3 linked regions of the Alligator mississippiensis genome follow. The protein of the gene in region 3 interacts with the protein of the main gene of each other region in a pairwise test. Links are inferred from orthologs where the notes say so. Each region holds a gene or a part of one and is shown on either strand. Other genes may lie near its edges. The genes, in order: RAB2B, RAB2A and FAM114A1.

The links.
Region 1: the proteins of FAM114A1 (region 3) and RAB2B interact in binary tests that used the Homo sapiens proteins (3 or more experiments, as listed by UniProt). The two-hybrid records come from large-scale screens. The link is inferred for Alligator mississippiensis from reciprocal best matches to the Homo sapiens genes FAM114A1 and RAB2B.
Region 2: the proteins of FAM114A1 (region 3) and RAB2A interact in binary tests that used the Homo sapiens proteins (3 or more experiments, as listed by UniProt). The two-hybrid records come from large-scale screens. The link is inferred for Alligator mississippiensis from reciprocal best matches to the Homo sapiens genes FAM114A1 and RAB2A.

What each region holds. Positions count from the first base shown.
Region 1 is NC_081830.1:3,888,393-3,898,640, forward strand, and holds RAB2B (ras-related protein Rab-2B), read right to left. Parts: upstream 4,363-10,248; 5' UTR 4,240-4,362; coding exon 4,194-4,239; intron 4,110-4,193; coding exon 4,038-4,109; intron 3,916-4,037; coding exon 3,848-3,915; intron 3,706-3,847; coding exon 3,623-3,705; intron 3,516-3,622; coding exon 3,423-3,515; intron 3,150-3,422; coding exon 3,038-3,149; intron 2,826-3,037; coding exon 2,757-2,825; intron 2,533-2,756; coding exon 2,428-2,532; 3' UTR 1,960-2,427; downstream 1-1,959. Other genes in the region: TOX4 (TOX high mobility group box family member 4), read left to right, coding at 4,603-4,608, 4,739-4,807, 4,889-5,131, 5,240-5,578, 5,923-6,159, 6,264-6,344, 6,463-7,185, 7,346-7,509 and 1 more; METTL3 (N6-adenosine-methyltransferase catalytic subunit), read right to left, coding at 8,490-8,601, 8,723-8,835, 8,913-8,978, 9,109-9,217, 9,296-9,334, 9,430-9,617, 9,733-9,949, 10,211-10,248. UniProt on the Homo sapiens protein: The small GTPases Rab are key regulators of intracellular membrane trafficking, from the formation of transport vesicles to their fusion with membranes. Rabs cycle between active GTP-bound and inactive GDP-bound states.
Region 2 is NC_081826.1:68,275,712-68,285,942, forward strand, and holds the start of RAB2A (ras-related protein Rab-2A), read right to left. Parts: upstream 4,407-10,231; 5' UTR 4,138-4,406; coding exon 4,092-4,137; intron 1-4,091.
Region 3 is NC_081825.1:50,196,175-50,205,662, reverse strand, and holds the start of FAM114A1 (protein NOXP20), read right to left. Parts: upstream 3,939-9,488; 5' UTR 3,924-3,938; coding exon 3,767-3,923; intron 658-3,766; coding exon 311-657; intron 1-310. UniProt on the Homo sapiens protein: May play a role in neuronal cell development.

The sequences.
Region 1 (10,248 bases), on a different chromosome or scaffold from region 3:
TCCCAGGAAAAACCACATCCCATTTCACTGCTGAAACAGGACCCCATGAACAAAGCCCGAACCCCAACTAAACAGTCACGGGCTTTTGGATACAAAGCTTTAGTCGAACTCTGCAAGTGTTAATTTTTCCTGCGTAACACTTTTGTATTTTTTTGCCACAATTCTACACTTCCAAGTTATTACTCCCCCTGGAAAAAAATTCTGAATAAGCATTAGAGAAAGTGCAACAAATGCTTTTCCTAAACAAAGTAGTTTAAAAAAAGTTTTGATTTTAATTTTTTGGGGGGTGGGGTGTCAAGTCAGGTCAGCCCTGCGGGCGCTGTGAGTGTTACATATACACATACACATTTCCTCTTAATTTTTCTTAGTGGTAAGTAAAAGGAAAATGGGGGGGGAGGGTGGGGGGAGGAGAGAAAAAAAAGGATAAAGAGTCAAATTTATTAAGACTGCTTCTCCCCCCGTCCCCCTTCCCCACAACACCTCTCCTTTGTGGAACAGAATGTAAAAACATGAGCAAAATTAGAGGTCCTTCCTACATCACGGTTTTGAACTTCCTAAAACTTTGCCGTAGGAAAAAGTATGTCTACAAGTGAATAAATAAACCTGAGAATGTTAACGTTTATTTCCAAACTAAAAAACAAACAGCAGCTGTTTAGCCTCAAAAAAGGGAAAACCTTCCCCCCCCCCACCATCCCCCCAAATCACATCAAAGTTTTTCAGAAGGAAATGTTAGTTCAGAGAACCAAGGTTCATTTGACAAGACTCAATTCTAGGTGGTTAAACTGCCCATGGCTGGGGCTGAAACCCTTGCTGCTATGGCCAATGCCTGCATTGAGGTAACACCCAAGGCTGCTGTCAGCTACAGCTCCATCATGCCAGATACTGAACAGAAGTGCATAGCTACTCTCCTTTCTGCCCCCAAGCAACTCACCAGCCAAGGTCTATTCATAAGACAGTCACATTGGGCAAAACCCAAGATGAACTCAGCCTAGACACAAACCCAGATCAGAGCCCACGGAGGGGCCTGTTCTAGGTGCAGAGATTGGTGACCTTGAATGCAGGAGGAACAAAGAGGAGGTACGAGCAAAGAACAGCTACCCAGGGGGTAACAGCACTTACCTGAACACCCAAGACAGCAGGTTCCAGTCCACTGGCCACAAATAAGGATCTGCCTGGGGACTGGCAGGTTCTCAAGGATTGGAGGAGAAAGGGGCTGGCCCAGTCCTGGTCCCCATCTGACAGGGGCAGCAAAGGAAGGACAGCCACAGGGAGCAGAGGGGACTGTGTGAGCAAAGCCACCCTCCATGAGCCAAGCACTGGCCTAACCCAGAAACCCTTCCCAGCCCTGGCCCCCATGGATGAGTTGCCTCAAGGGGGTTAAAGGCAACAGTGACCCCAACTCTTAGCCTCCCAGCTGGACAGCTCTTTGCTGGCCCCCTCAGAGGAGCCAGGCAGCAGCTTTGGGCATCACAAGGAGCTCAGAGGGGTTATCTGTGACCCATGAGCCACGTTCACCGAGGTTGGGATTCCTCAGTGTCCACAGGGCCTGGGCGCCGTGGGCAGCCCTACCAGTGCTGTCACACAATCCCATTTGGGGGCCTGCAGAGCCATGGGCCTGGTGCTGCTTCAGCTGCTTCCAAAAGGGGCTAGGAGCTGCCCAAGAGGCATAAATCACTTAGCAACTAGGAGCATGGAGCTGGACTCCCCTTGGAGACCACAAAAGCACCCACCCAGCATGAAAGGGATGCTGATAAGAAAGTCATTCCTTCTCTAGGAGCAGGACAGGAAATAGGGCTCCTGGGTTGTATCCTGGGCTCCAGCAAGGGGCTGGGGCCTAGCAGACCTGATTGGGGAGGGATCTGGGAGCCAAGACATTCCCAGGTTACTCCCAGACACTCACTGCAGCAGCTTCCCCAGTCCCTCCACCCCCATGGAGAGCAACACATGGGGAGAGCCGAACACATGCAGACATTTAATAACAGGAGAAACCACAGAGAGCAAGTACAGTATAAAAGCTGACATGGGTGCAGGGAGGGGCCGGGCACCTGGCCAGGACCCTGCAGGACACAGGGGACCCAGCCAGACCCAACTGGGTCCCAGGCAGTAAGAGAGACAGCCGGGGGGGGGTGGAAGGCACTGACAAGGGGAGGCCCTAGCCCTGGGCTCTGTCCCGTCGGCAACCCACAGCCAGCCAGGAGGAATGTGTGGTTGAGGCAGAGCCCAAAGTCTCCCCCAGGCACAGGCTAAGGGGTGCCTGGTCCTTGCCCCTTTTTTCAGGGCCCAGATGGGGGGGGTTGCTGAGACATGGGGGAGGGGGGGAAATTACCCAGCCCAGCCACCCCCTACAGTCCCCCACCCCTTGGCTCAGCCACGAGGAGCTGTCTCCCTTGCCAGGGGCTAGAGCGAGCTGGTCCTGGCCCCAGAGGCTCAACAGCAGCCTGAGCTGTCCCCGGAGCCCTGGGGGCCATGGCGAGAGCCAGCACCAGGAGCCACTCCCGAAGGCTGCTGGGGACCAATCTTGATGCCATTTGCCTGGAAGAGAACAAGGAAGAGGGTGGGAGAGAGCATTAATAGGGGCATAGCAATCAATAAAACTAGGCTGCCCAAGGTAGGTGCCAGGCCCAGATAAATCAGCCAACCCTTATGGAAAGGGACCCAAGTGTTAAGGACAGCAGCATACCTTGCTCACCCCCACAAGGCCCCACCATGGAAGGAAGAATGGGATCCAGGTGTTCCGGACTGGATTCCTAACTCACCTCATTGTTCACGTCAAACAGCCCCTGCTGGATCTTCCTGTAGATCTCTTTGGCCGTGTCAATAAAGGCCTGAAAGAAGGCAGCCCAGGGTGAAGCGGAGGTGGATGGGGGAAGTTAAGGGTTAGTGGCCCCACTCCTTCCGGGACCCCATTTGTCAAGGGTTTGGGGTGCTCTAGGATTTGGATGGTCCACATCCCCACCTGGGCTCAGCCAAGACCCGCTCCTTTGCGAGAGGTGCGGAAGAGCACCTCCTCACCCCCCCTCCCCACAACCCCAGTCACCTCCTCAACGTTGGTAGCTGTCTTGGCAGAGGTCTCCATGAAGACCAGCCCGTGCTCCCGTGCAAAGGCCTCGCCCTCCTCCTTCCGCACGTCCCGCCGTGACTCCAAATCGCTGCAGACGCATGCAGGGAGGAGGGGGAAGCATCATGGCCAGGACCCATCTGGGACCCCATACCCACCCAAAGGCCAGCTTAAGTCCCACCGCACATCTGTGAGGCCTGCATCCAGGGCGACATCCAGAGGGTCTTCTTACGGCCACCACCTTCGGGCCTCTCCCTTTTATACCCAAACCCCTGCATCCTATAACCAGCAGCCTCCCTGTAGGCTCCGCCCCTCCTAGCCCCCCACTGCCTCAGGGGTCCCCCCACCCCTCCCCGCCTGTCACCTCTTGTTGCCGATGAGCATGATCACCATGTTGGAGCTGGAGTGCTGCCGGGCATCCTCCAGCCATGAAGTCAGGTGGTTGAAGGTCTCGCGCCTGGGTGGGGGCTGCCATGAGAAGGGGGCGGCGGCAGCACCAGGGCTCCCCCAGGAAGGGAAGGAGGTGCAGGGGGAAGCCTTCCCACCCCAGGAGCCGGGCCTCACCTGGTGATGTCGTAGACCAGCAGAGCCCCAGCCGCCCCCCGGTAGTAGGAGCGCGTGATGGAGCGAAAGGACTCCTGCCCGGCCTGCGGGGCGCAGGGGCAGAGGGGTCAGGGATCTCGTTCGTGGCTCTGGCTTGACCCAGCGCTGCTTAATCCCGCCGGGCGGCCCCGCTCCCCCCCACACCCCACGGACTCGAACACTGGCCACCCCCGCAGCCCGGCTCACTGTGTCCCAGATCTGCAGCTTGATTTGCTTGTTGTCAATGTTGATCATCCGCGCCCCGAACTCCACACCTGCAGGGCCAGGCTCCGTCAGCACCCCCGGCCTGGACACCCCTCCTGTCCCCCCACAGCACCCTGACTTCATCCCCTCCCCCACCCGCCTACAGCCCCACAACCCCCCTATCCCCCATCACCGATGGTGAGGTCGTGCACGGGCTGGAAGCGCTTGTCCGTGAACTGCAGCAGCAAGCAGGACTTGCCGACGCCTGCAGGCAGCGAGCGGAGTCAGGGCTGGGCCCGGGGTCGGAGCCGCCGCTGCCCGCTCCCGGCCCCGGGCCCCCGCCCCGTACCGGTGTCCCCGATGATAATGTACTTGAAGAGATAGGTGTAAGACATGATGCCCCGGTCCGATGCGGTCCTCCCAGGGCCGCTCTACCCCCCGACTCAGCTTCACTTCCGGGGAGACGCTCTAGCCCAGCCGCAGCCTCCTGGCGCCTTTACTGCTCCGCGGCCCACACTTCCGGTGCCATTCTACCCGCCTCCTGGGGCCGCGCTGGCCGCCTGGAGGCCTCCCTCTCTACTCCTCCTACGGGCGATTCTGGGGGGGTGGCTACATTCAGCTTCCCCTTAGGGCCTAGAGTTCGAGCCCGAGTTTGGAGGGGAGGCGGAAGTGACGCACGAAGGGGGATTTCCGGTTCCTTCCTTAGGACTCGGAGGGGGTGGGGGAGGCGGTGCTTGGCGATCGGTCGGGACGCGGCCATGGAGGTGCCGGGGCCGGGAGCACGGGGGTGGGGGTGGGGGTGGAGGAGGGGAGCACAGGTGTGGGGGTGGGGAGGGGGAGAGGGTCCGTGCCCCGCCCGGTGAAGCCCGTCACGTATCCCTGCTTCCTCCCCAGTTCCCGGGCGGGAGCGACAACTACCTGGCCATCACGGGCGCCACGCACCCCTTCCTGACGGGCGCCGAGGTGAGGGGGGAGCCGGGGCGGGGAGGGTGGCGGGTGCGGGGTGCCCGGCGCGGGCTCACGGTCCCGTCCCCGTCCCCGCAGACCTTCCACACGCCGAGCCTGGGCGACGAGGAGTTCGAGATCCCGCCCATCGCGCTGGACGCGGACCCGTCGCTGGCCGTGGCGGACGTGGTGGGGCACTTCGACGACCTGGGCGACCCCGGCGGCGCCCCTGACGCCAGCTTCTCCGCCCAGTACGGCGTGCAAGCCCTGGACATGCCCGTGGCCATGAGCCACGGCCTCATGGAGCAGGGCGGCGGGCTGCTGCCCGGGGGGCTGTCCATGGTAAGTGCGTGCTGGGGGGCCGCCCGGGCCGGGCGCGCAGGGCAGGGAGCGGTGCTGCTGGCGGTGGTGCCGGCCGGCCCCCCCCCAGCCTGCGCCGTGTGCCCCCAGGACCTGGAGCACTCCATGGGCGCGCAGTACAACGCCAACCCGCCCGTCACCATCGACGTGCCCATGAACGCCATGAGCCCGGGCAGCCTCATGGGACACGGGCAGCTCACCACCATCGACCAGTCGGAGCTGAGCTCCCAGCTCGGCCTCAGCCTGGGGGGCAGCGCCATTCTGCCCCCGGCCGCCGCTCCTTCTGCCACCGCCGCTGCCGCCGCCGCCGCCGCTGCCGCCGCCCCGGCTGTGGCCCCCGCCACGGCGGCGTCACCTGAGGAGCGGATGTCCACCACGCCTTCCCCCACCAGCTCGCTGCAGGAGGAGGAAGCTGAGGAGTTCAGACGGGTGAGAGCCTGACTCCTGCGTTGCTCGGGTAGTTGATTCCCACTTCTTCCCCCCTCCCCTTGCTTTGCGTCCGTAGCCCGCTGAGGTCACGCCTGCCGCGTTCGGTCGCTGCCCCGTCAGCAGGAGCTGGGGCCGAGGCCGCCGGCGGTTCCGTGTTTGTTGGCAAGAAGTGGCCACATGCTCCTGCCCGGCCCTGTTGCGCTTTCCAGCTGTGCCTCGCGGCCTCTAGTCGTCCCAGTCGCAGGCTACCTCTTGCTGATACCCGAGAACAGCTCCGCCACGGATGGGCAAACCTCTGTCTCCAGCCTGCAGTTTGACCGTGCCCCCTCTTCTCGCCCCCACAGCAGGCCCCGGCCCAGAAGGCGACGCTGGTGCTGGACGCGGGGCGGAAGCCGAAGCCGGCTAAGAAGCAGAAGAAGAAGAAGGACCCGAACGAGCCGCAGAAGCCGGTGTCGGCCTACGCGCTCTTCTTCCGTGACACGCAGGCCGCCATTAAGGGGCAGAACCCCAACGCCACTTTTGGGGAGGTCTCCAAGATCGTGGCGTCCATGTGGGACAGCCTGGGCGAGGAGCAGAAGCAGGTGGGCATGGCTGGGAGGGCACGGGGCAGGGGGAACAGAAGCTGGTGGGGGGGAATGAGAGCAGGGCTGGGGCTTGCTGCTGACCTAGTCCTCCCTCCCCCAAGGTTTACAAGCGGAAGACAGAGGCGGCCAAGAAGGAGTACCTGAAGGCATTGGCAGCCTACCGAGCCATCCAGGTGTGTCAGGTAAGGGGGCTGGGCCTCTGCCAGCTGGCCGGGGCTCAGCTCTCTTGTCCGCGGGTGCGCCAGGGTCTTGCGTATCTGTTTGTACGTCTTTCTCATCCCCCATTCTCTCTCCGTGCAGACGCTGGAAACAGAGCTGGACCCCAGCCCAACGCCACCCTCTCCTGCCTCCCAGTCCGTGCAGACGTCTACTCCCGCTGCTTCCTTGACTGCTGCCCTGGCCCCCTCACCTGCACAGGAGACCCCGCTTACGGCCACGCCAACTGCCACCGTCTCTGGGGGCATCTCCTCGCCAACTCCACAGCCTGCCCCAGCTGTCCCCACGCCTGCTCCCCAGACCAGCATCACGAAGATCATAATTCCCAAGCAGATGCTGCCGTCCTCACTGGCTGTGTCCCAGGGTGGCGTGGTCACGGTCATCCCCGCCACTGTGGTGACCTCCCGTGGGCTGCAGCTTGGCACCGGCACCACCCAGATCGTCACTCGCTCCGTGCTGCAGGCGGCAGCTGCTGCAGCTGCGGCTGCCTCCTCCATGCAGCTGCCCAGACTGCAGCCCCCACCCCTTCAGCAGATGCCCCCACCCCAGCCCCCCACGCAGCAGGTGGCCGTGCTGCAGCCCCCACCACCCCTGCAGGCCATGCAGCAGCCCCCGCTGCAGCAGAAGGTGCGGCTCAACCTACAGCAGCAGCCCCCACCGCTGCAGATCAAGATCCTGCCCCCACCTGCCCTGCAGATCCAGCCCGTCACCCTGCAGGCTGAGGAGGCCAGCCCTGAGCGGCCCAGTCCTGAGCTCCAGGGTTCCCCTGAGCCCATGGAGATGGTTACTGCTGATGTGGTGCCTGAGGTGAGTACATGGCTGGGTGTGGGGAGCTGGGTCCTGACTCCTGGTCTGTTGTCAGAGGCTGAGAACCAGCGAGCTTACGGCCTTGTCTGTGTCCAGAAGTTGGAGCAGACACAGGGTACAGTTGGGCATAACCTTTCCCTGATCCCCCTCCCACCTGCAGGTTGAGTCCCCAACGCAGATGGCTGTGGAGCTGGTGACCGGGTCCCCAATGGCCGAGTCACCGCGGCCACGCTGTGTGCGCTCGGGCTGCGAGAACCCACCTGTGGCCAGCAGCGACTGGGACAACGAGTACTGCAGCAGTGAGTGCGTCGTCAAGCACTGCCGGTGAGCGGGGGTGGAGACGGGGTTGCGGGGAAGTCCGGGCGTGCCTCGCTACAGCTAGGTTCAGCTTTGCTCGGACCCTCCCCAGCCACAGTGTCCAGCTCATTCCAACCTGCATACAGCCCTCGGGCACAACCCCAGCCATGGGGCATCAAACACCCTGACCTGCCCTCGGGCAGTGAGGACCAGGCCTTGCCACTGTAATGACTTCATTAAGTCATGCTCAGAAGAGCTTAGGCAGATGTTGTGCCCCCTTCTTCCCGTGTAGACAAAGCTGAAACCCCAGAGTGTGCTGGCCTGATCCCAGGATACAGTTCCTTCCTGACCCCAACACGGTATCCAGCTGACCCTGAGCTGGGGGGCAAGACTGGCCTGCCTTGGCTGGGCCTTCTTGGCACAGCCTAGCACTTCCTTGGAAGGCAGAATTACCCCACTAATGCCCATAGCAGCAGTAATGGGGCTGTCTTGGCATCACATCATATGGCCAGCACGAGATGGAGCTGCCCCAAAAACCGCCCTCATCTCCCCCCCTGCAGTCCTGCCTCATGTTTGACATACGCTTTCTACCTCCTTTGCAGGGACGTTTTCCTGGCCTGGCTGGCTTCCCGCAACTCCAGCAGCAGCGGTGGCAGCAGCGGCGGCAGCGTCGTGTTTGTGAAATAGCCCTGTCCTGTGGGGTCAGGGTCAGGGCCTGCATGTGGCCTCCAGCGTGATGGGAAGCCGGACTGGAATGCAGCAGAGGAGGGGGGAACAGGGCCTGGGGGGAGTACTGGGGCTGACTGTGGTGCGGTTCTTTCTGGTTTGGATTAAAGTGGGAGGGGACAGAGCCAGTGTGAGGGTCTCACTGGGGACAGGACATGGGAAGCCTCCAGCTGCTGGCGCAGCCCCCAGCTCCTTGCAGCCATCAACATGGCCTGTGCCTCTTTCCATCCTCTCTTTTATTACAAAACAGTCCCCACGAGCAAGGTTCCCCCTTCAGTCCCCTACATGTTCTTAGGCTTCGAGATGACACCGTCGGGGTAGCGTTGCTTGAACTGGGCTACCACGTCTGGGTCCAGCAAGTGGATGCCATCCAGCTGGTTCCCCAAGGTGATCCTGGCCAGGACAAGAGTAGGCATCAGGGGGGGAAAGGACATTGTGGGCCTGTCCCAGCCCTGCTGCCAGGCTGGACCCAGGAGTCGGTCCCAGCAGCCTCTCCCATTTCATAGACACTCACCAGTTGGGCTGGACGTTGTGGGGCCGCCCAAAGAGCTCAATCTTGCGGGTGCCAGGTGACAGGCGCTCGATCATGCCGTAGATCTCGTCGGGCTTGTGGCTGGTGGAGCGGACCTGAGGAGAGGGGGCAGCACTGAGCAGGGGTTCTGGACGGAAAGTGGGGAATGAAGGGACAGGCACAGCTGACTCACCTCTGCTACAATGACATCGCAGTCCAGGCCCCGGTTGAAGCCCTGGGGGTTCCCCTTGACCCCGACCTGCCGGGGACAGAGCTGCTGAGCTTGGCACACGGGCTGCCGGGGCCCAGTTGAGACCCAGGTCCAACAGCAAACCCCCTCCCTGCACCCACCAAGTAGCCGTGCTCAGCACCAGGCCCCCAGTCCCTACCAGGCAGTGCTCCTTGCCATGGTTGAGCCAGTGCCCCGTACGCCCTGTGCGGATAATCCGCTGCAGCTGGTTGGTTTTCACCCAGATGATCTCGTCTACCCGCTCATACCTGGGGCGGGGGGTAGAGGTCAGCTGGGAAGGGTGTGAGGGGGGACATGTGGGGGCACATTCACTTGTACACACTCACCCCCAGAGGTTGAGGCACTCGCGCCCTAACTCCATGGCCCTGTGAGGGAGACAGCCCCAGTGAGACCCTTGACCTGCATCAGAGACACCCATGACCCCTCTGAGCCAGGTCAGCCCCTCCCAGACCCTCAGTACCTCCCAGTGACCCAGAGGAAGAGGAAGCCCTCGTCCTGTAGCACGGGGATGTTGAGGCGCCGCATTTCATCGTCAGTTAGCGTCCCATAGGGCAACTCCATGTGGATGTCCCAGGGCGGGTCAGCCATCACTACTGCAAACTTCCCCAGGATGCTCACGTCCAGGTATCGGATGTCGCAGCAGATCCACTGGGCCGGGAGAGAGATGTGAGGGCAGACTCCTGTGCTCTGCCTCCCACCCCAAGCTTCCCCTGCCCAGTTTTACAGGCCCCTGCCAACAAGCATCCCCTCAGGCAGTGGGCACCTGGGGTGGGAAGAGACGGTCAGCGCTGGCGTCGCCACCCACAGCTTGCGGCAGGGCCAGCTCCTGGCCGGGGTTGTGGTCGCGGGTGCCAGGGGCACCAGGGTCAGCGCAGGCGTCGATCTCGTAGTGCACGTACTTGCAGGTGTCCATGTGGAAGCAGGTGTTGAGGAAGGAGCAGTCGCCCAGCGACTCGTCCGTGTGCTTGTTGATGATGCGCCTGCGGACCAGGGTGGTGGGTGGGCACGGGACCCAGACGTCCTGGCCCCTGTCCTACCCCTTGTGCAACCCCACTGGGTACTGTGGGTAAGGACTGGACCCAGGAATCTGGGTGCCCAGACACTCCCACTTTGGAAGCTGAGCTCCCAGCTCTCAACCCCTGCCCCTGCTCTCCGCAGAGCCGTGGCAAGGAACGGACATGATGGAGGGGGTGTGTGTGCATGAGTGCGCACAGGTACACGCGTGTGCACACGTCTCTCACCGGAAGTGCAGCTTGCGACAGGGCCGCTCGGCGCCCGT
Region 2 (10,231 bases), on a different chromosome or scaffold from region 3:
CACCAGTATGGGGTGGGATACCGTATCGAAGGCCTTCCTGAAGTCTAAGTATATGACATCCACCCCTCCTCCTGTGTCCAGGCGTTTCGTAACCTGGTCATAGAAAGATACTAGATTGGTCAGGCACGATCTGCCCACGACAAACCCGTGCTGGTTTCCCCTCAGCATAATTTGCCCTGCCGGGCTCTCACAAATGTGAGCCTCGATAATTTTTTCAAAGACTTTACCAAGGATGGAGGTGAGGCTGACTGGCCTATAGTTGCCCGGGTCCTCCTTCCTCCCCTTTTTGAAAATGGGGACCACGTTAGCCCTTTTCCAGTCCTCTGGGACTTGGCCCATGCGCCACGAGCGTTCGAATATTCCTGCCAGTGGCTCTGCAATGATGTCGGCCAGTGCCTTCAGCACCCTCGGATGGAGCCCATCCGGGCCTGCCGATTTAAAGGCATCCAGTTCTTCCAAATGACTCTGCACCACCTCAGGATCAATTCAACCCAGTATACCGTTGGCTTTTTATTTTATTTTTTGGCAATGAGAGCACACAGTTGGCTCATGGTCAGCTCATGGGTTCACTGTAACCCACAAGTCCTTCTCTACAGTACAGCAGCTTAGCCAATCATTTCCCAAGATTTGTTTTGTAGAAGGCTGTCAAGTCGCTAGAGAGCCCTGATTACAAACTCCTAAAGGGAACATGATCTCAAACCAGGACCTTGGGCAGCTACAGCCACTCATCCTGGTCAGCCACCCACCTGGGTGATCAACAGTGACTGTACCAAGACTACCATCATGTGCTGCACTAGCTCAGCTACCTTGGGACAACAGTCTCAAGATAGCCGTTTTGATGGCAAGAGCTCTGGTTGTTAAATGAAACAAAGTTCAATAGCATCAAAGGTTCCTTAATTTTGCTCATTTTGATTTTATGGAAATATGTTGTTGTACATATGCTATAGTAAAAGTGCGTATTAAAGATTTTGAAGAGATTGCAGATGTAGCTTAATTACATCAGAGTTCTGTTTTTTTTAAACTAATACTGGGCTGGTAAAACAGGAAAATATTCCTTTATCAACAAAAAGCTTCTACTTCTGGCATCATGATGCGTTATTTATAAAAAAGAAGAGCAAGACATGCAATATTCAACTAAGAGAAGAGGGGGAGGGAAGGAAAAAAAAAGATTTTTTGGCAGTACTAAACCAGGTAGATATTTTAAATCTCAGATATAAAGCATATGTTTACTAGAACTGTAGCTATGGTGACCTCTCTCCCTTTCCCCTTCCCATTCCCTCCAGCACACATGACAGATTTTCATTCTATTTCTTTATACTAGATTAGGATTTGCCATGTCACAGGTTCCAACATCACACATGAGATACAGCATAATTTAGTAATCAACTGCCAGCTCAAAGGTCTGACTGAAACAATCATTCCTAGAGCATTTAGTTATTAATATATGACAGATGTCATATATACTTTACTTTAAACTCCTAGTATCACTGTCTATGATCTACTAGTAATTCAGTGAATTTCTGAACTTAATTTTTACTGCATCCTAGAAATATATGGATAGAGGTCTACTTTCTCCTGTAATTGCTCTATAAAAGCAACAATAATTAACCTCTCTCTTGTAAAGAATGACAATTCCACGTGATGATTCAGAGTCCATGTACCCATAGTTACCAATTCCAGAAAAACCCTTCTCAATTTACAAATAAACTACTTTTTCCTAAGTTCCCAGCCTTTCAAACAAACCCACATTGAAAGTCAAGTTCTATTATTTCTTGCTCATACCTCTCCAACAGTAGAAAATTCTACAAACTAGATCTTAATTAACAATTAAGGATGCAGAATCTGTCTTGCTCTCCCAAAACTCTATCATCTGTTATACTAGAAGTAAAGTCACTGGAGCCAGAAAGCATGCAAAGGGACTAGATATGTCCAGTAAAATGTAACCAACCCTACACAGTTTTCTGTAGCTGCAGCTAAAGAAGTGAGGTCAGACTAAATACCTACACTTAGGTGGATGAAAACTGTTGGTATTATGATCATGTCAAATACATGCAGGTATCTGGTATAACTGCATACATTTGTTTGCATAACCAAGCTTAGTAGTAATGAAGAGATCCATAAGGGTTTCATTTCTTTTCCTACTGAGGCATATTTAAAATTAAATGCTGAATCACCACTCAACTAGTACACTTTTAAGGAGTCTAACTAGAAATCCCTGCAATAATCTGAGTCAGACTGGGAGTTCTACAGCAGGAAAGACAGTTCCACAATGTAAGCTATACAAAAATTAATAAAGGGCTCTCAAGAGATTTAAACTATGTCTATAGCTATCACTATAAACTTATTTGAACTGGTTTTGGAAACATGTCTTTCTTTCCAAGTGAAGCATGTCATTTTAGATCAAGGTTTATTTCGGCCTCAATTTCCTCTCTCTTTTTATATCAGAAATTCTGAATCATGCAAGTAAACTTACAAAAAAAAAAATATCGTATTAATGTATTGTGTTCTCCTAGGGTACCTATCTGACCATCCCCACGTATACAATTTTGTCACACGTCTTTTAGAAAATTAAAAAGTTACTCAGAAAAATTATACCAATACAACTTTAGTATTAGGATGTAAAATTTCTGACCAGGCCCCACCAACCAAGAAGCAGAACTGCATAAACTTCTATGCAACATATACTTTAAGGTTTGTGTCAAGCCTTAGACCGTATAGAATCGATGCACCTGAGTAATTAACTTGAGTTTCCATGTCCCACAGTGGCATGTACATTTTCAGGAGTGAAATAAAGCGAGTGCCCCACAGAATGGCCGCAGTAAGGCAGGCTTTCCCATTCTTTAATATTATAACTCTAGTTCCAAACTTGTCAGAGGGCAAAGGTAGCATCTTTCTGGGAAGTAAAAACACCCTCTGATTTTACTTTTGAAGTCATGCTGCTTGATACAGTCTTTTTAAGCTCCATGTCCTGCACAGCATGGGCACATGGGATAAAGGTATAATGAGAGTAATTTTATACTAAGAACTTCTTGTTTTCTTAGGTTTTAACTAATGTGGGCCTTTGCGCTGCTTAATATTTATTGTTGTCTTTTTATAAAAACCATAGGGAGCTTAAGCACAAGAAATATAAGTATTAAGCCATTCAGCAACCGTATCTGTATGTTCCTACAGAACAGCCACTCCAGCAATAAATAGTGAGGTTAAACTTGCACAAGAAGCAACTGTAGACTTACTTAACCATGATGTAGACAGTGGGCAACTGCAGCACCAAGTTTGCCTGAATGCATAAGATACATGTACTATTATCAGGGGTGTCAAAAGCCCTTGGCCTCTCTGGATGGATCCAGGTCACCAGGCTCCTCATAGGATGGGTCTTGTCCCAGGCAGGGTGAGCAGTGGCAGAAACTCACCAGGGCTGGTGCAGCTGTTGCTTACTCATCTGCCATCACAGTGGGGCTCACCTCATCCCTAAACTCCCAGCCCCTCCAGGATCCCTGTGGCCTAAATGACAGGCTCCGCAGACTGCATCAGGCCTGCAGGCTGCGTCCACATCCCTGTGCTTTGCCTTCCACTGGAAACCTGGCCATGACTACAATGGAAAGAAACAAACAGCCTTAGAGGCTGTCAAAATTGGGCCCCTGCCTGCACCCAACCATCTCCCGGCATCAGGATGAGCTTGAGGGCTGGGCTGCCGAGGGGCTCCCTGGCAACTGAAGGAATGTGATGGAGAGGAGACCCCACGTGAGGGGGACACCAGGGATGGAGAATGCCTGCTCTGCTGATGTGGGCAGCAGGGAGGTGGGAAACAGCACGGCTCCGAAAGCCACGGAAGGGGGTGGTGCCGGGCTGGCCGGAGGCTGCTTGGGGCAGGGCCTGGCCTCGTGCCCTGGCGCGCTCTGGACCCCCTCCCCCGTGGGCGCGGGGCCCAAGCCGGGGCGCGGCGGCAGGGGCGCCGCAGGCCGCAGGCGCGGGCGGGGCCGCGGGGAGCGCAGGGCGGAGCCGGCCTCCTCTGCCAGGCACCACGTCGGCTAAGCCAACACTGCGGAAATGGGGGCCCGGCCGCCCCGTGTGCGGGCGACGGCGCTGCTCACCTGTGTCCCCGATGATGATGTACTTGAAGAGGTACGCGTAGGCCATGGCCGCCCAATCTCCGCCCGCTCCGCCGCCGCCGCCCGGGCTGCTGCTCCTCGGTGACGCCCCGCCCCGCCCGCTGTCGGGGTCCGAGCCGTTAACGGCTGCCCGCCCGCCCACCGGGCCCGCGCCCCAACCCTGGCTCGCGCCGCTCAGCGTCCGGGGCAGCGGCAGCGGCAGCGACGACTCGCCAGAGCACGAACAATAACAGCGGCCCGAGCCCGTCGGCAACGTCACGCAGCCTATTCCCGGGCCCCCCACCCCCCGCCGACCCGGAAGTGCTCAGGCGGCCGGAGCGTGGGGCGGGGCCCGGGGACGTTCCGTGTGACGCCGCGCTGCCCCTCCCCCCGCGGGCACCGGCGTGTCCTCGTCATCCCGTCGCGAGGCCGCCGCGGGTCTGTGTGGGCGTGTTGCGGGGGGTGAGGGGACCTGGAGTGGGTTTGGCCGTGCTGCTCCCACCCCTCACTGGGGGGCGGCGCCGGCCCCTCCAGCCCCGGGGCCTTGCACCAATTTCAGAAAGGGTCATGGAGCTGGGATGGCTCCAAGTGGCTTGTAGAAGAGCTGCCCCGCTCCCAGTCTACCCAGGGGTGGTCTGCTGCTGGGATGTTCCTGGGGTAGGGTGGCCAGTATAGAGGACATTCCAGTTTTCTGCTACTCCATCTTCTATGGATACGAAGCCCACTGCCTTTATGTCCTCTATTTTTCTCTTCAAGAGAAAAGGTGTCCGGTTTTGTATCCATAGAGGACCTAACTGGACTGCCCTCTATGACGGCCACCCTAGCCCTGAGGAGGAGGCAGCTTCAGAGTTCGGCAGGCAACTTCTGAGCTCATCTGCTCTGGCATAAATGTATTTGCTGTAACCAGGGACCTGATCTAAATCAGGGTGGGGGGGTCGGGTCTCTATCATTTTTGCACTTTTTGTCAGCACCTCGGAGGCCAAGGAAGTCTTCACAAACCCCGCTGATACTACAGAGCCTGCTGTTGTTTCTGCGAAGGTGCACGTTGCATGACCTGTGGTCATAATGACTTTGGCCTCCTTGGGCTAGCTTTTCCCAAGGCAGGAAATTATATTTTGACCAGGTTGATTGGTACCAGGCAGTGTTACTCTAAAGTGCTCACAGGCCACCGTCTTAGCTAGGAGATCCACACATGTGGGCCTACATCCACATTAGTAAGCTAGGTAGCTTAGTCAGAAGTGATGCAGAATAATCCTGTTTCAGCAGCCGCAGCATTTTGTGGGTGACTAAATTAATTTGGCCCTTTAATTATGGCCCAAAATGATCTCTTACCACCTAAGCTTAGGGCGTGGACACACCAATGTAAATTAGAGGGGTGATCTGGAGCCGATAGAAGATAAACTTTGCTAGGGTAGCTATGCGCAAGTACGTGCTGTTAACAGCACTACCCCACCAGGTGGTGAGGGAGCAGGCAACAGTGTATTTACTTTGAACAAATGGTTCCCCTTGGGTAAGTTGTGAACATGGGTGAATTCTGCTATGCAGAACTCCAAGTGTAGTTTTACCCCTCATGTTTCCCAGGGTAATTCTATACCGGATCTGCAAGAGTTTCACCATAGTAGGATTGTCTGTACAGTACCTTGAATGCCCACTGTTTTTGTACCCTGGTATAAGGATAACTAATGTATCATTCATCTTTTAAGCATGCAAAAAAGTACCCTAGTTGAGTGGTTAGGTGCCTAATTCCCACCCATGTTACACTGCATTCTGAAAGAGATATGGAGCCATACCTAAACTCTGCCAAAGTCCCTTGGCAGAGGTCCATTAGCCACACTCAAAACATGTTTAACTTGCATTGAGAGTATTGAGCTCAGAACAAACAAATACTGCACCCACTGTCACTCAAAAACTTGACCAGTGGCAGTGGTATCATGTTAGAGACATCTTATTCCATGGAAGGGGGAAAGGACTATTGGGTATAGTTCAGTAGTGAGGATCCTTTCTCCTTTGTGATTCGAGGAGCTCATGCCACATAGTGCTGCCCAGAAGGGATAGTGTGGATCTCTAGGTTAGGGGGAAGCTACTAGTATGGCAGCTCCTGATTATTAACAGTATGGTGTCATGATCAGTTGCTGCATTGGCAGGCATGAGCTGGGTGGTCATGTGTTCATGCGTTCAGTTATTTTGTCGTCATGCCAACATTTCTCTCAGGAATGCATATGGAGAGAAGGGAACCCGTGATTTATTGCCGTTTATATCAGCAAAAACTGAACAAAATTGCATGCAGAAAAATACTTGCATACTCATTTCTGCAGCTGGCTAATCTGCTGTCTGCTGCAAACAATAGAGGGCTGAGCTAATGTCCTTTATCACAGAAAGTGTTAGGCAACCTAAACCTATCAAATTGCTGCCCGTTCCCCTATCACTGATCCCCTGTTTAACTTTTCATAAAAATGTAACATTCAGTGATTTTAGCCAATGGATATCTCTCATCTATCAGAGGATCCTGTAATTCTTTATATATTTTAGTGCATTGTATATACTTTGCAGTTGTACTTCTAAACTGTTCAGTTCCATCAGCATTCCTCCATTAGATTTGAAATATTTCCAACTTGAAATTAATAAAAAATTGATTCCCCTCTAAGTTATATTTACTTTGCCCTTACTTTATAAATTTTAAGTGCCTACTCTGCAAATAAGTACCATGTTTGCTCGATTTTTACTTCTCAGTTGTCCAGACATAAGACATGGAGATATTCTGCAGATTATTATACAGTGGCTGACTAGGCTAGCCACCTATATTCTTTTCTTAAGTTTTAATAACTTTAATGGAAGTTTAACATACCTATTTCTCATAGGCTCCATAGCTACTATGGAAACAGTGGCTGTTCTGTACTTAAATGTGGTATTTTCTACACCATTTTAAATAACAGAGTAAACTGTATCAGTCTTTACTAGTGGTAATTTTATGTACCAGGTAGATATATCCAGTTTAAAATCATGATATTGACTCTTCACCAATGGCTAATGGTTTTACATGTTTATTTCCTAAGTGACAGAAATGGGATTATGGAGTATAAAGCCAATTTGCGGAACCATTATTATTAGGGGTCTACTGAATTAGAGGTAGCGGCTTGCTGACCTCACAGGCAGATCTCCAGCTGGCAGCCATTTTAGTAGGCAGAGCACAGTGGGCTCCCACATGCCTCTGATTGGCTGAGGGGCACCAGTGGCCTTGTCCCTTACTGCCAATTGGGGGGGGGGGGGGGAATGACGAACAGTCCTCATAGCCAATCAGTGGCAAGGGGCAGGGGCGGCAGCCTCCCCTTCTCCCCTGGCAGGCTGCACAACCAGGCCTGAGTGGCCACAAGGATTGATGGCTCTCCAGGACAAGCCAGCATTTTATTTTCAGTAAGCTTTTTTTCAGGGATCCTGTGCTTTTTCGTGGAGCCTGTCCAAAATTGTGGTTTCCACGAAAATTGTGCAATAGCGATTTTTGTAGGTCCTTCCTTATCAGTAGTGACACTTAAGAAGGAACTGCTGTGACTTCCAAATGACAAGCTACTTTGTAAATCAAGGTGTTAGAAGAAAATGTTTGGGCAGCTATAAGTTTATTTGGTATAAAAACTGAAAGAACCTTATTGTGACACTTAGGCCACATATTAGATGGGCTTTTTGTGGCATGAGTCAGTGTATTTACTAGGTAACTAGAAAGTAAATCCCCAGCTATTTTTCAAATAAGCTTAAACATTTCAAAATCATTTTGAAAGTACCAGTACTAGTAGGTTTTAGTGGGCAGGAATGATTTGATCTATATGATAATTTTTTGCACGTTAACAGCAAACTTAATGATCATTAAATTCCCAAATGAGACTTATATGATATAGAGGAATACAGGACTAGAGCACACCTTCCAAGCCATAGTCCAGTCCCTTACATTCATATATAACCATTCACCTAAGAGGTCAGCAAGATCATCTACTCTGACCCTTCTTACATACTAAAGACACAGAGCACCCTACACCTACAATGTATCCCAGGTAAAAACAAAAAAAAGTATACTGTAAATTAGGGCTTTGGTAGCCAGTTTGATTCAGAGGAGATTCGGCCCAATTCAGTGGCCGAATCTGAATCGAATCGGGAGACCAATTAAAAGGTCTGAATTGAATCAGAAACCTCTGAATTGATTTGGAAGAGAGATTAAGTGCCACTTTGGAGATTCAGCCATAAACTAAATAGGCCTCGACTCTGGACACAGCTACCTCCAGCTGGTAAGTCTGTTGTGGTGGAGGGAAAGGGGGTGCAGATCAATGCCCCCACAGCGAGGGAGGGATTGGGACTGGGGCTGGGATCTGGGCTGGGGCAAGCGCTGACTAGGGAGGGGGTGGGGCAGCTCGCAATGCTGCGCATCACCAGTCTGGGAGCTGCTTGTGTGGCAGCTTGTTCAGCAGCTCTTGCAGCCATTTTGGCAGCTGCATGGCATGCACAGTGTCTCTGGGAGTGCTTCTTTTGCAGTGAAGTACTATAGTACACAAGTACTATCCTATGGTGGCATTATTTAGTGCACCACAATGCACGTATAAATGCTAATGTGGCTAGCTAGGGCAGAAAGGTTCTTCGGTGTGGGGACCGCTTGCTGGCTAGCCCAGCTAGTCCCTTTGCAGCATGTTAAGCCAGGCTGGAGCAAACCTGAGCTGGCAGGTTGACCCACCGAGTCCCCTGCTCCGACCCAGCTCATTGTGCTACAGTCTTAGGCGCACATGCAAACACAGCACCTGGGAGCAATAAGCTCTGGTGCAAAGTGCACTGGAGTTTATTCAGCTGTGTTAATTGCACATGTAGACTTGCCCAGTATACTGCTCGCTGGACTCTGCTGCTTCAGCAAGGGGTAGAACCCCACCCCATCTTGTGCTGCAGGAAAACAGACTGGCCATAGGCAATCTGGGTCAGCCAATCTGGGCTGCCCTATGCACCACTGCCATCTGTTGCCAGGCAGACTAAGAGAACCTCCAGAGCATACTGAGATGCATGTACTTGGCCCTCCCCTGGCTGCATAGTATCAGCACTGCAAGCTCTCTACTCTTCAGGGCCTCAGTTTTTGAATGTCTGTAAACTTGGCTAAAATAAGGATCCCTTTGCTCTTGGCACTGTCTTTGAATTTGTGAAGTCACTACCATTAGATCTTTAAATGTAGGCAGTATGTTCTGTTTGTCCTTCTGTATAAACTTGTGCTTTACTGCCTTGAACTCTAAAAATAAAATTTGATAAAACCAGCAATGGGTTTACTTTAATGTTTCCCCGCTTCTAACAGAGGAAAAACAAAGTGTCCTTGAAATGACCTTGAAGTAGCTAAAAAGAAAACAAAAAAATATACCTTATATTTCAAAAACTGAACTATTTTACTCAAAGTAGTATAAGAAAATATTGTTTATTGACTTAAAAAAAAAACATATTAACTAGGGTGGCGGCAAGAAGCCCCCACAGGCTCCAAGGGGCCTGGGGAAAACCCCAAGAGCCCGTGCACAGGACAAACAGGCCCCCCACACCCTGGAAAACTTACTTTTAGGAGCGCGGCTGGGGCCGGGACTGGAGCCAGAACCGAAACCACGGCCGCGCAAACCAGCATTACACCGGCTCTTCAAACAGCTGCTCCTGGGATGGGGGAGCGCCGGGCCAATGGTGGCAGCGGGGGATGCCACCATGGGAAGATTTAAAAACCCCGCCGGAAGCCAGCACGGGGGGAGGAGGGAGAGAGAGCCAGTGGGGAGTACGTCAGGTAGGGTGTGACTCCTGCGACTGGCAGGAGCGTTGCTGCAGGTGCGGAGGCTGCATCTGGAGCAGGGGGAACAGCGTCCCTGCATTAGGCTGGGGAGGATCCATTTCCACCCCCACCCTCCCCCAGCTACCTACATTTCAGAGTTGGTAAAAAAGTGTCTCTCTCTGGGGAGAGAGAGGGATGCCAGACATTGGGAGCCCAGCCCTCTGGCACCAGAGGCTGGGGCTCCAGCTGCCTTAACATCCAGGCCAACCTACCAGAGCCAAAGTCGATGCCTGACCCCTTAGCAAAGGGGCTCAGAGGGGCACAGAAGAACTACACAGGCAACACCCAAGCGGTTGGCAAGTGGACGAGGTGTAGGGGAGGC
Region 3 (9,488 bases):
TTTACATGCCCAGGGAAGCCAATTAAGATAAGACAGACAAATAAAAATCTGACACTTCCTAACTTTTTAAGAGCTGTTTTTCAATATAAATAATTTATATTTTTTCAATGTAGAGAAGTCTACATGTAATTTCCAAGGCTTTTCTTAAAAAAAAAAAAGTGATGCTCATTATTTCTTAATTGCTGACACTACAATCAATATATAATTTTGACAGAACTGCCCTTTTCCTCAAGTAGGGAGCCAGACTCATGATTGTTTAGTATAGCAAGGTAATTATCTTCAGAATAGATGTTTTTGAAGGGTCACTTACTGGATTACTTTGTTCACTTGGTGTCACTTCAGATTCAAGTTCAGGATCAAGGCTCACAGATTCGCTACAGTCAGCGGCTACATTCTCAGTCACGTCTGTGCTAGAAGGTTGATTTTTCACTTCCTCAGTCAAAGGATGCTCAGTGATAGTTGGGTCTCCTTCCTGTCCATTAGCGGTATTATGGAAAGATTGTTTTTCTCCATCTTGTGAAGACCCATGCAGTATCCCGGTCACTTCATGATGTAGTGCTTCATCATCAGGCAACACATCACTACTAGGCATTTCTATTACTTCAGGTTTTCCTTTGGTGGGTACTGCATCACTTGTGTCACCAGACATTTTTATTTCTGTTTAAAAAAATAGCACAGATATATAAATTAACTACTCAGTTATTACAAATTCCAGAAACACTTAAATGATACAGAACCATTCTAAAAAGCAGCTTTACTCACCAATGCTTGCAGGTATGCAGCATGGTAAGAATTAAATGAGAGACAATGTAAGTGTATATTACAAATATACATGTTTTATCTACAGAAATCATGAAGGTTCATTTCTGAGGGCCAGTTATAGCCCCCCATCCATAGTTGGCATTGATGGAATGCCAATTACTGTCAACAAGAGATAAGGTGGGCAAGGTCAGTATAGATCGTTGAACCCCGACTATTTCCAAAGAAGTCTTGTAGATTTAGCATGCTCCATAGATCAAACACATCTTTTTTTCTTTCCTTCTCATCTTCCTCCTTGTTTAGCATCAGTATCCACTGGGTCTTATCCCATTATTTCACCAATTTAAGTGGGGAAAAAACATCTCTGTAACCCTTGCCACCTGGAACACTGTTTTTAGGACCTGCCTACCTCACCTGCACTCCATAATTTTTTCAATCTCATCTGAAAATATGGCTTTTCTCTTTTCCTATCTTTTTTATTTTAACTTTGAACCATGATACTATTACATATTTCTGTCAAGCATTTTCAAATATTACTTGAATATTCATATTTGCTATAAAACGTATTTTGATTTGTAAAACTGTCTATGCAAATCCATTCTTAAAAGTACCTTGACGACTCTCAGGTCTAGCAAAATCCCTTTTGCAGTGGGTCTGATTTTGATTTTACTCATGGTGATGAAAACCAGAACTAAAGGCCAGTTCCTGCACTTGTGAAGGATCTTTACATTACGGCATCAGTTGTAAATGGGCCCTAAGTTGACCCTTGAGGTAAATTTTCCTTAAAAAGCACTCTATACAGCTTTTTGCTCTCTTTAAGAATGCTTAGGGAGCAGAGTTGAGAGGGAGATTGCCCAGACAAGTCTGTATTCTAGACAGCCAGCCAGAGTTGCGCTGCCTAAGTACAATTAGTCACAAGTCTACTCTAATTTCTGTTGTAGACAGGTCCAATCTACAGAGCAGACTGGAGTCCAAGAAGCAAAAATTCACCATAGCACCACACACACATTGCCAGAGATGCCCACGCTAGCCCCACAGGAATGAAATCAGAATCAGGCCTAGTAAGCACAAGAGATTGTTGTACATTGAAAACTAAGTTTAAAGGTAAAAAAAATCCACAAAAATTATTCAGAATTTAAAACATGAGACAGACACAGGAAAGACAATAAACACACTGGTTAACTTAAAATTAAGTTCCTCCTTCATTTGCTACTATAATCTTTATTAACTATGCAGAGGCATATGTGATGTGACTAGAGTATGGCAGTCTCTGTTTTCCTTGACAAGGATTATTTATTTAATTTTTATATACCACCCTTCCCAACAAAGGCTCAAGGCACCTTAAAATAAGCAAACAATAACTTAGAAACAGGCGAGTAACATGAAGACCAAAACAACTTAAAAGGGATCTAGGATAAAACAGACACCCTCTGAACAACATCTTATCCTAGTTTTGTTTAGTAAAAGCCAGCCCAAGTAGGAAGGTCATGCAGTGCTTCCAAAAGATATTCAGGCTTGGCCTCTGGAAGACCTGAAGATGGAGGGAGGTCCAGAGCTGACGAGCAGTTGCACAAAACAACTGAGTTGTGATGAGAACACAATCAGGAAGAAGGCAGATAGAATATATGTGTTGATTTTACAGAGAAAAGGGGCCACCTTTATCTAGTGAGTCTAACTCATAACATTTCACCAAGTAATTTTTGTATGGAACCAAAAGTGAGCTGTGTGTTATACCATCAGTGATGGTGTGGAGCCTGTGCCTCGCTCCACCTGCCCTATCGGGGTGTTGCCCCTCCCCTCAACTCGCCTGCCACGACTTGGATGTAATCAATTACCTTCAGAGGGGTCTACAGTGGAGGTCTTTATCCTGGGTGGGGCCTCCCGATAGACAGTGTTACTCACGGTTGTCGGCCGTGGTGATCCATGGGGCTCCGCCTCCCCTACACCCCGTCCACACGCCAACTGCTGGGCGATGCGTTCCAGATGTTTCCAGGCCCAGTATGATGGCCTCTGACTGGTTCACCGGTTCCCGGTCGTCCTCCCTCCTGCTGGGAGGGATTTCTCCTTTCTCCTCTCTTACAGAAAATACTCCTCTGAATTAGGGGGAGCTGGTGGGTGCTCCCCCTGGTTCCAGCTCCCTCCTGGAGCCTCTGCTGTCTCCCCTCTCCTACCGTCAGCAGAGCGCTCCCCTGCCTCCTGAGCGTCAGCCGCTTCAGGATGCAGAGAGATTGCCTCGGCTTGCACTCTCTGACTGCCTTTCGCTCTGCTGTTTGCGAAAGGCTTCCAGCTCTTGTCTAAGCTGCCTGCTTGAGACCCGCAGGCTGGGTCCTCTCCGCTCCATGCGAGAGCCCGCAGCACGGGCAGCACACCCGTACTCTCTCTCCCTGGCTCCCCCTCTCTCCCTGTCCTGCCGGCATTTTTAAACCTTCCCACAGCGGCCGCTACGGCCGCTGAGATTGGCTCAGCTGTTCGCTGTGCCGGGAACAGCTGTTGCCAGAGCCGGCGTAATGGCAGCCGCGAATGCGGCTCTTCCTCCCGCTGCTCCTCAGCCGGTACGTATGCCCCTCTGGGGGCTTGCTCTCGGGGTCTGGGGTCTGTGGGTCCCCCCTTCTCTCCCTCACTAGCCTGTGGGGGCACTTCGCCGCCACAGTCCTCCCCTCTTAAGTTGCCTTGTGGTGGCTGATTTTCTCTCGTGACAGCATGTGTCACCTGCTGCTCCTCCCTGTGGATGTGGCCCGTACCTTCCTCTGCGTTGTCTGCGCCTCCCCACCTGGACAAGAAGTCAGCCACAAAGTTATCTCTGCCAGGACGGTGTATCACCGTGAACTTGAATAGCTGTAATGCCAAAGCCCAGCGGGTGATCCTGGTGTTCATGCTCTGTTTCTGTGTCAACCACTGTAGTGGTGCGTGGTCTGTTACTACCACGAATTCCCTCCCCATCAGGTAGTACTTAAAGTATTCTATTGCCCAGCGTATTGCCAGGCATTCCCTCTCGATGGTGGCATACCTGGTTTCTGCCTGGCTGAGTTTCCTGCTGGCAAAGGCAATTGCGTGCTCCTCCTGCCCGTGTTTCTGGAGTAACACTGCTCCCAGCGCCCGTCCTGATGCATCCGTCTGTAAAACGAAAGGGGCGTTAAAGTTAGGCGTGTGCACGACAATGTCATGGCGCATTGCTTCTTTCAAACTCTGGAAGCTCTTTCGCATCCCCAGTGTCCATTTCAGTGGCGTTACGGATCTCCCAGCCAACGCGTCTGTAAGTGGTGTGGCGAGCGTTGCGAAGCAGGGTATAAATCGCTGATAATAGTTAACGAGTCCCAAGAAGGAACGCAGTTGTTTGCGGGTTCGCGGTTCCTGGAACTGCCTTATAACCTCAATCTTATCTGTGAGTGGCCGCACTGTCCCTCGGCCTACTCGAAATCCTAGGTATGCTGTTTCTTTTAAATGTAGTTTACATTTCTTCGGGTTGGCGGTCAGCCCTGCTGTTCGGAGTTCTCCCAGGACTGCTCTGAGGTCTTGGAGGTGTTGTTGCGAGCTGGCGGAAAATATAAAGTTGTCATCAATGTACGCCGCCGCGTACGCTGCGTGCAGTGCCAACAGGTTGTCCATCAACCTCTGGAACGTCACAGCTGCTCTGCTGAGGCCAAAGGGCATCCACGTGAATTCGAATAGGCCCCACATAGATTCATAGATGTTAGGGTTGGAAGGGACCTCAATAGATCATCAAGTCCGACCCCCTGCATAAGCAGGAAAGAGTGCTGGGTCTAGATGACCCCAGCTAGATACTCGTCTAACCTCCTCTTGAAGACCCCCAGGGTAGGGGAGAGCACCACCTCCCTTGGGAGCCCGTTCCAGACCTTGGCCACTCGAACAGTGAAGAAGTTCTTCCTAATGTCCAGTCTAAATCTGCTCTCTGCTAGCTTGTGGCCATTGTTTCTTGTAACCCCCGGGGGCGCCTTGGTGAATAAATCCTCACCAATTCCCTTCTGTGCCCCCGTGATGAACTTATAGGCAGCCACAAGGTTGCCTCTCAACCTTCTCTTGCGGAGGCTGAAAAGATCCAGTTTCTCTAGTCTCTCCTCGTAGGGCTTGGTCTGCAGGCCCTTGACCATACGAGTTGCCCTTCTCTGGACCCTCTCCAGGTTATCCGCATCCTTCTTGAAGTGTGGTGCCCAGAATTGCACGCAGTACTCCAACTGCGGTCTGACCAACGCCCTATAGAGGGGAAGTATCACCTCCCTGGACCTATTCGTCATGCATCTGCTGATGCACGATAAAGTGCCATTGGCTTTTCTGATGGCTTCGTCACACTGCCGGCTCATGTTCATCTTGGAGTCCACTAGGACTCCAAGATCCCTTTCCACCTCTGTGCCACCCAGCAGGTCATTCCCTAGGCTGTAGGTGTGCTGGACATTTTTCCTCCCTAGGTGCAGCACTTTGCATTTCTCCTTGTTGAACTGCATCCTGTTGTTTTCTGCCCACTTGTGCAACCTATCCAGGTCTGCTTGCAGCTGTTCCCTGCCCTCCGGCGTGTCCACTTCTCCCCATAGCTTTGTGTCATCTGCAAACTTGGACAGAGTACATTTCACTCCCACGTCCAAGTCGCTGATGAAGACATTAAAGAGTATCGGTCCAAGGACTGAACCCTGTGGGACCCCACTGCCCACACCCTTCCAGGTCGAGACCGACCCATCTACCACGACTCTTTGGGTGCGACCCTCTAGCCAATTTGCCACCCACCGGACTGTGCAGTCATCCACATCACAGCCTCTTAACTTGTTCACCAGTATGGGGTGGGATACCGTATCGAAGGCCTTCCTGAAGTCTAAGTATACGACATCCACCCCTCCTCCTGTGTCCAGGCGTTTCGTAACCTGGTCATAGAAAGAGACTAGGTTGGTCAGGCACAATCTGCCCGCCACAAACCCATGCTGGTTTCCCCTCAGCGTAATTTGCCCTGCCGGGCTCTCACAAATGTGAGCCTTGATAATTTTTTCAAAGACTTTACCAAGGATGGAGGTGAGACTGACAGGCCTATAGTTGCCCGGGTCCTCCTTCCTCCCCTTTTTGAAAATGGGGACCACGTTAGCCCTTTTCCAGTCTTCTGGGACTTGGCCCATGCACCACGAGCGTTCGAACATTCTCGCCAGTGGCTCTGCAATGATGTCGGCCAGTGCCTTCAGCACCCTCGGATGGAGCCCATCCGGGCCTGCCGACTTAAAGGCATCCAGTTCTTCCAAGTGACTCTGCACCACCTCAGGATCTACGCATGGAAGTCTGGCGCCTTGCTGCTGCCTCTCTACAACCCCAGTGAGAGACTTGTCGTGCCCCTCACTTAGGAACACTGAGGCAAAGAACTCGTTGAGGAGTTTAGCCTTGTCCCCCCTATCTGTCACCAATTGTTTCTGCCCATTTAGCAGCGGTCCTATTCCTCCCTGGGCCTTCCTTTTACTCCCAATATATCTAAAAAACAATTTCTTGTTGTCCTTTACTTGGGTTGCCATCCTCAGCTCCATGGTAGCTTTGGCCCGCCTAACTGCCTCCCTACAAGCACGAGCAGAGGAGGTATATTCATCTTTAGTGATCTCACCCTGTTTCCACTTTTTATGTGCTCCCCTTTTGGCCCTTAGGCTGCCCTGGATTTCTCTGGTCAGAGAAGGCTGTTCTGGACCACGGGGTCCCGAAGACTGTTTTGGCACAATCCATGGGGCGCATCGGGATCTGCCAATATCCCTTTGCCAAATCAAGCGTGGTTATATACTGTGCTTCACCGATTTTCTCCATGAGGTGAGTGACATGGGGCATCGGAAAGGCATCAAACGTAGTCAGGGCATTGAGCTTCCTGTAGTCTATGCATATGCGCAATGACCCGTCCGGTTTGACGACGGGGACTATGGGGCTCCGCCATGGACTGCGGGACGGTCGTATAATCCCTTGTTCTTGCATTCTCATGATCTCTTGCTGTATTTCCCGTTGCCACCGCTGAGGTATCGGCCTCCATCTCTCCCTCACCAGTGCTCCCTGAGGTGTCCTGATTTCATGTTCTACTCCCGTTACTCGTCCCAGGATCTCTTGGAACACTGCCCTAAATTCCTCTATCAGAGCTACTAATTCTCGCTGTTGGTGATTGCCCAACTCCTTGCCCATTTGTACTGACCCCTCCTCCCCGGGTCTCCCTAACCAGGGACACGGCGGTCCCAGGTCCTCCTTTGTATCCCCGTCTAGGGCCAACCAGCCCTGAGGAGTTTTCCACTTCTTGAGCAGATTCACGTGGTAAATCTGTCGTTCCCGGCGGTGGCCTGGTTTAAGTAATTCGTAATCCACGGGTCCTACTTGTCTCACCACGGTAAATAGCCCCTGCCACATGGCCAGCTGTTTGCTGGAGGAAGTTGGCAGCGATACCAAAACTTTGTCCCCCGACTGGAAAGTCCGTGTTTTCGCCTTCTAACGCTTTTCCTGTATGCCTTGGGCGTCCCTCAGGTTTCGCCTGGAGATCCGTTGGGCCATGGAGATTCGGTCTTGTAGCTCTTCCCGGTACCTCTCCGCCGACACCCCCAAGCCTATTGGCTTTTCCCATTCTTCCCTTACGATTTGTAGCAGTCCCCGAGGGCTATGGCCATACACCAACTGAAACGGAGAGTACTGGGTTGACTCTTGCGGAGCGTCCCTTATGGCGAACAGCAAGGGTGTCAAGATAGTATCCCACCTCCGCGGGTCTTCCTGGGCGCACCGCCTGAGCATCCGCTTGCTGGTCCCATTTAACCTTTCTACCAAACCATTAGTTTGGGGGTGGTAGACCAAGGTCTTTAGCTGGGTGATGCCAAGGGTCTTACATAAAGCTTTCATTACCCCAGACATAAAGTTTGTTCCCTGGTCTGTGAGTATTTCCCGAGGTATGCCCACCCGCGCTATCCACTTAAGAAGTTCTTCCGCTACTCGAGTGGCGGTTATGGACCTAAGGGGCACGGCGTCTGGGAAACAGGTGGCATAATCTACCATCACCAGGATATATTGGTATCCGTTATGTGACCTGGGGAGGGGTCCTACTATATCCAGGGCGACCCGCAAGAACGGTGTCTCTGCTATTGGCATGGGCTTCAGGGGTGCCCTTGGGGGCTTCCATTCCTGGGCCCTCTGACACTCGGGGCATGCGGCCCCCCACCTTTCCACGTCCTCTTGGAGACGAGGCCAAAAGAATTCTTGGGCCAGCCTCGCCCGGGTCTTGTTACGTCCCAGATGGCCACCCAGGGGTGAGTCATGGGCCAATCTCCACACCACTTGGCGAAGTGAGGACGGGACCACTAACTGTCTCCCCCGTATGGTACCCTCCTCACCCCGGTGGACCCGATATAATAGTCCCCCTGTTACCTCGAAGCGGGGACGCCTCTGTGAGGGTCCTTCCCCGGGATCAGCGTCCCACATCCACTGCAGTTCCGGGTCCTCATGTTGTGCCCTAAGAAATTGGGCCGCGCTCACGAATTGTTCTAGGTCGATGCCGTCTGCCATTGTCTCGTTGCGACGGGCTGGGCCCTCGCCGGCCCATCCGTCTCCCCTCTTGATCCGGTTCCTCTCCTCTTGCATAGCCCTCACTCGCTCGAGGACTGTATAGAATGGCCCCCATTCTCGGCCTAGTATCATCTCACACGCCAGGGTCGGGGCAATTCCAACCCGCAACTCTCCGCTAAACTCCATCACCCTAAGCGGAACATAGCAAGTCTGGAACCGCATCTCCCCCCCTAGTATGCAGGTCATCGTCAGGGGCCCCTCACTCTTCCATTCCCTCTGCGGAGCGAGGTCTGCCCGAAGTAGGGAGTGGGAGCACCCCGTGTCCAATGTGGCCTTAACCGCCCTGTCTCCAACCCATGCGGTTACTACGGGCCGGTTCCATCCCTCCCTCTGGGTTGCCGACCCAAAACTGCAATCCATGGGTTCCCCTCTCTCTGCCTCTTTGCCTCTATCCCGGGGGGGTGGATATCCTGTTGGGGTGCGACTCAGCTCGCTCAGGCCTTCCCCACATTCGCGGGAGATGTGTCCGGTTTGCCCACAGCGGTAACACACCACCCCTTTCGGTGGCCCTCGTCTCGAGACTGTTCGCCTTTCCCCTTCGCTTGTGGGTCCCTCTTTCGTGCCTCGGGAGTCTCGTCTGTATCCCTGTTCCCTTTCCGAAATCGCAAAAGCCTCAGCCAAGCGAAGTGCCTCTTCACTAGTTTGTGGCTGATGTCTGCGTACCCATCTCTGGGCATCCTCCTCCAAATCCCATATGAATTGTTCTAACAGGATCTGGTCCATCACACCCGCCTGGTCGAACTTGCCGGCTGGCAACCATTTGTTGAGTGAGTCCCTTAAAGCTTGCAACAACCCCTGGGGTTGCCTAGCCTCCTTGGCCTTTCGGGCTCTAAAGGCCTGCCGATGACTTTCCGGTGAAATCTCAAGCCTGTAGAGGATTGCTGCTTTCACTGCCTCGTAATCGCGAGCTTCGTCCCTTGACAGCGCTCGGTAGGCAACTTGGGCCTGATCTATCACCAGCGCCCCCAGGTGGTGGCCCCACTGACCCCGGTCCAACCCTGTCTGGATAGCTGTCCTCTTGAATGCCTCGATGTAAGCTTCGGGGTCATCCTCCCTCGTCATCCGGGGCATTTTAAACAAAGCGGCATTTCGCTGTATCCATTCCTGTTGGTGAGCGCCCTGCTGTTGCTGCACTGCCAGCACCTGCCCTATGGCCTGGATTGCTT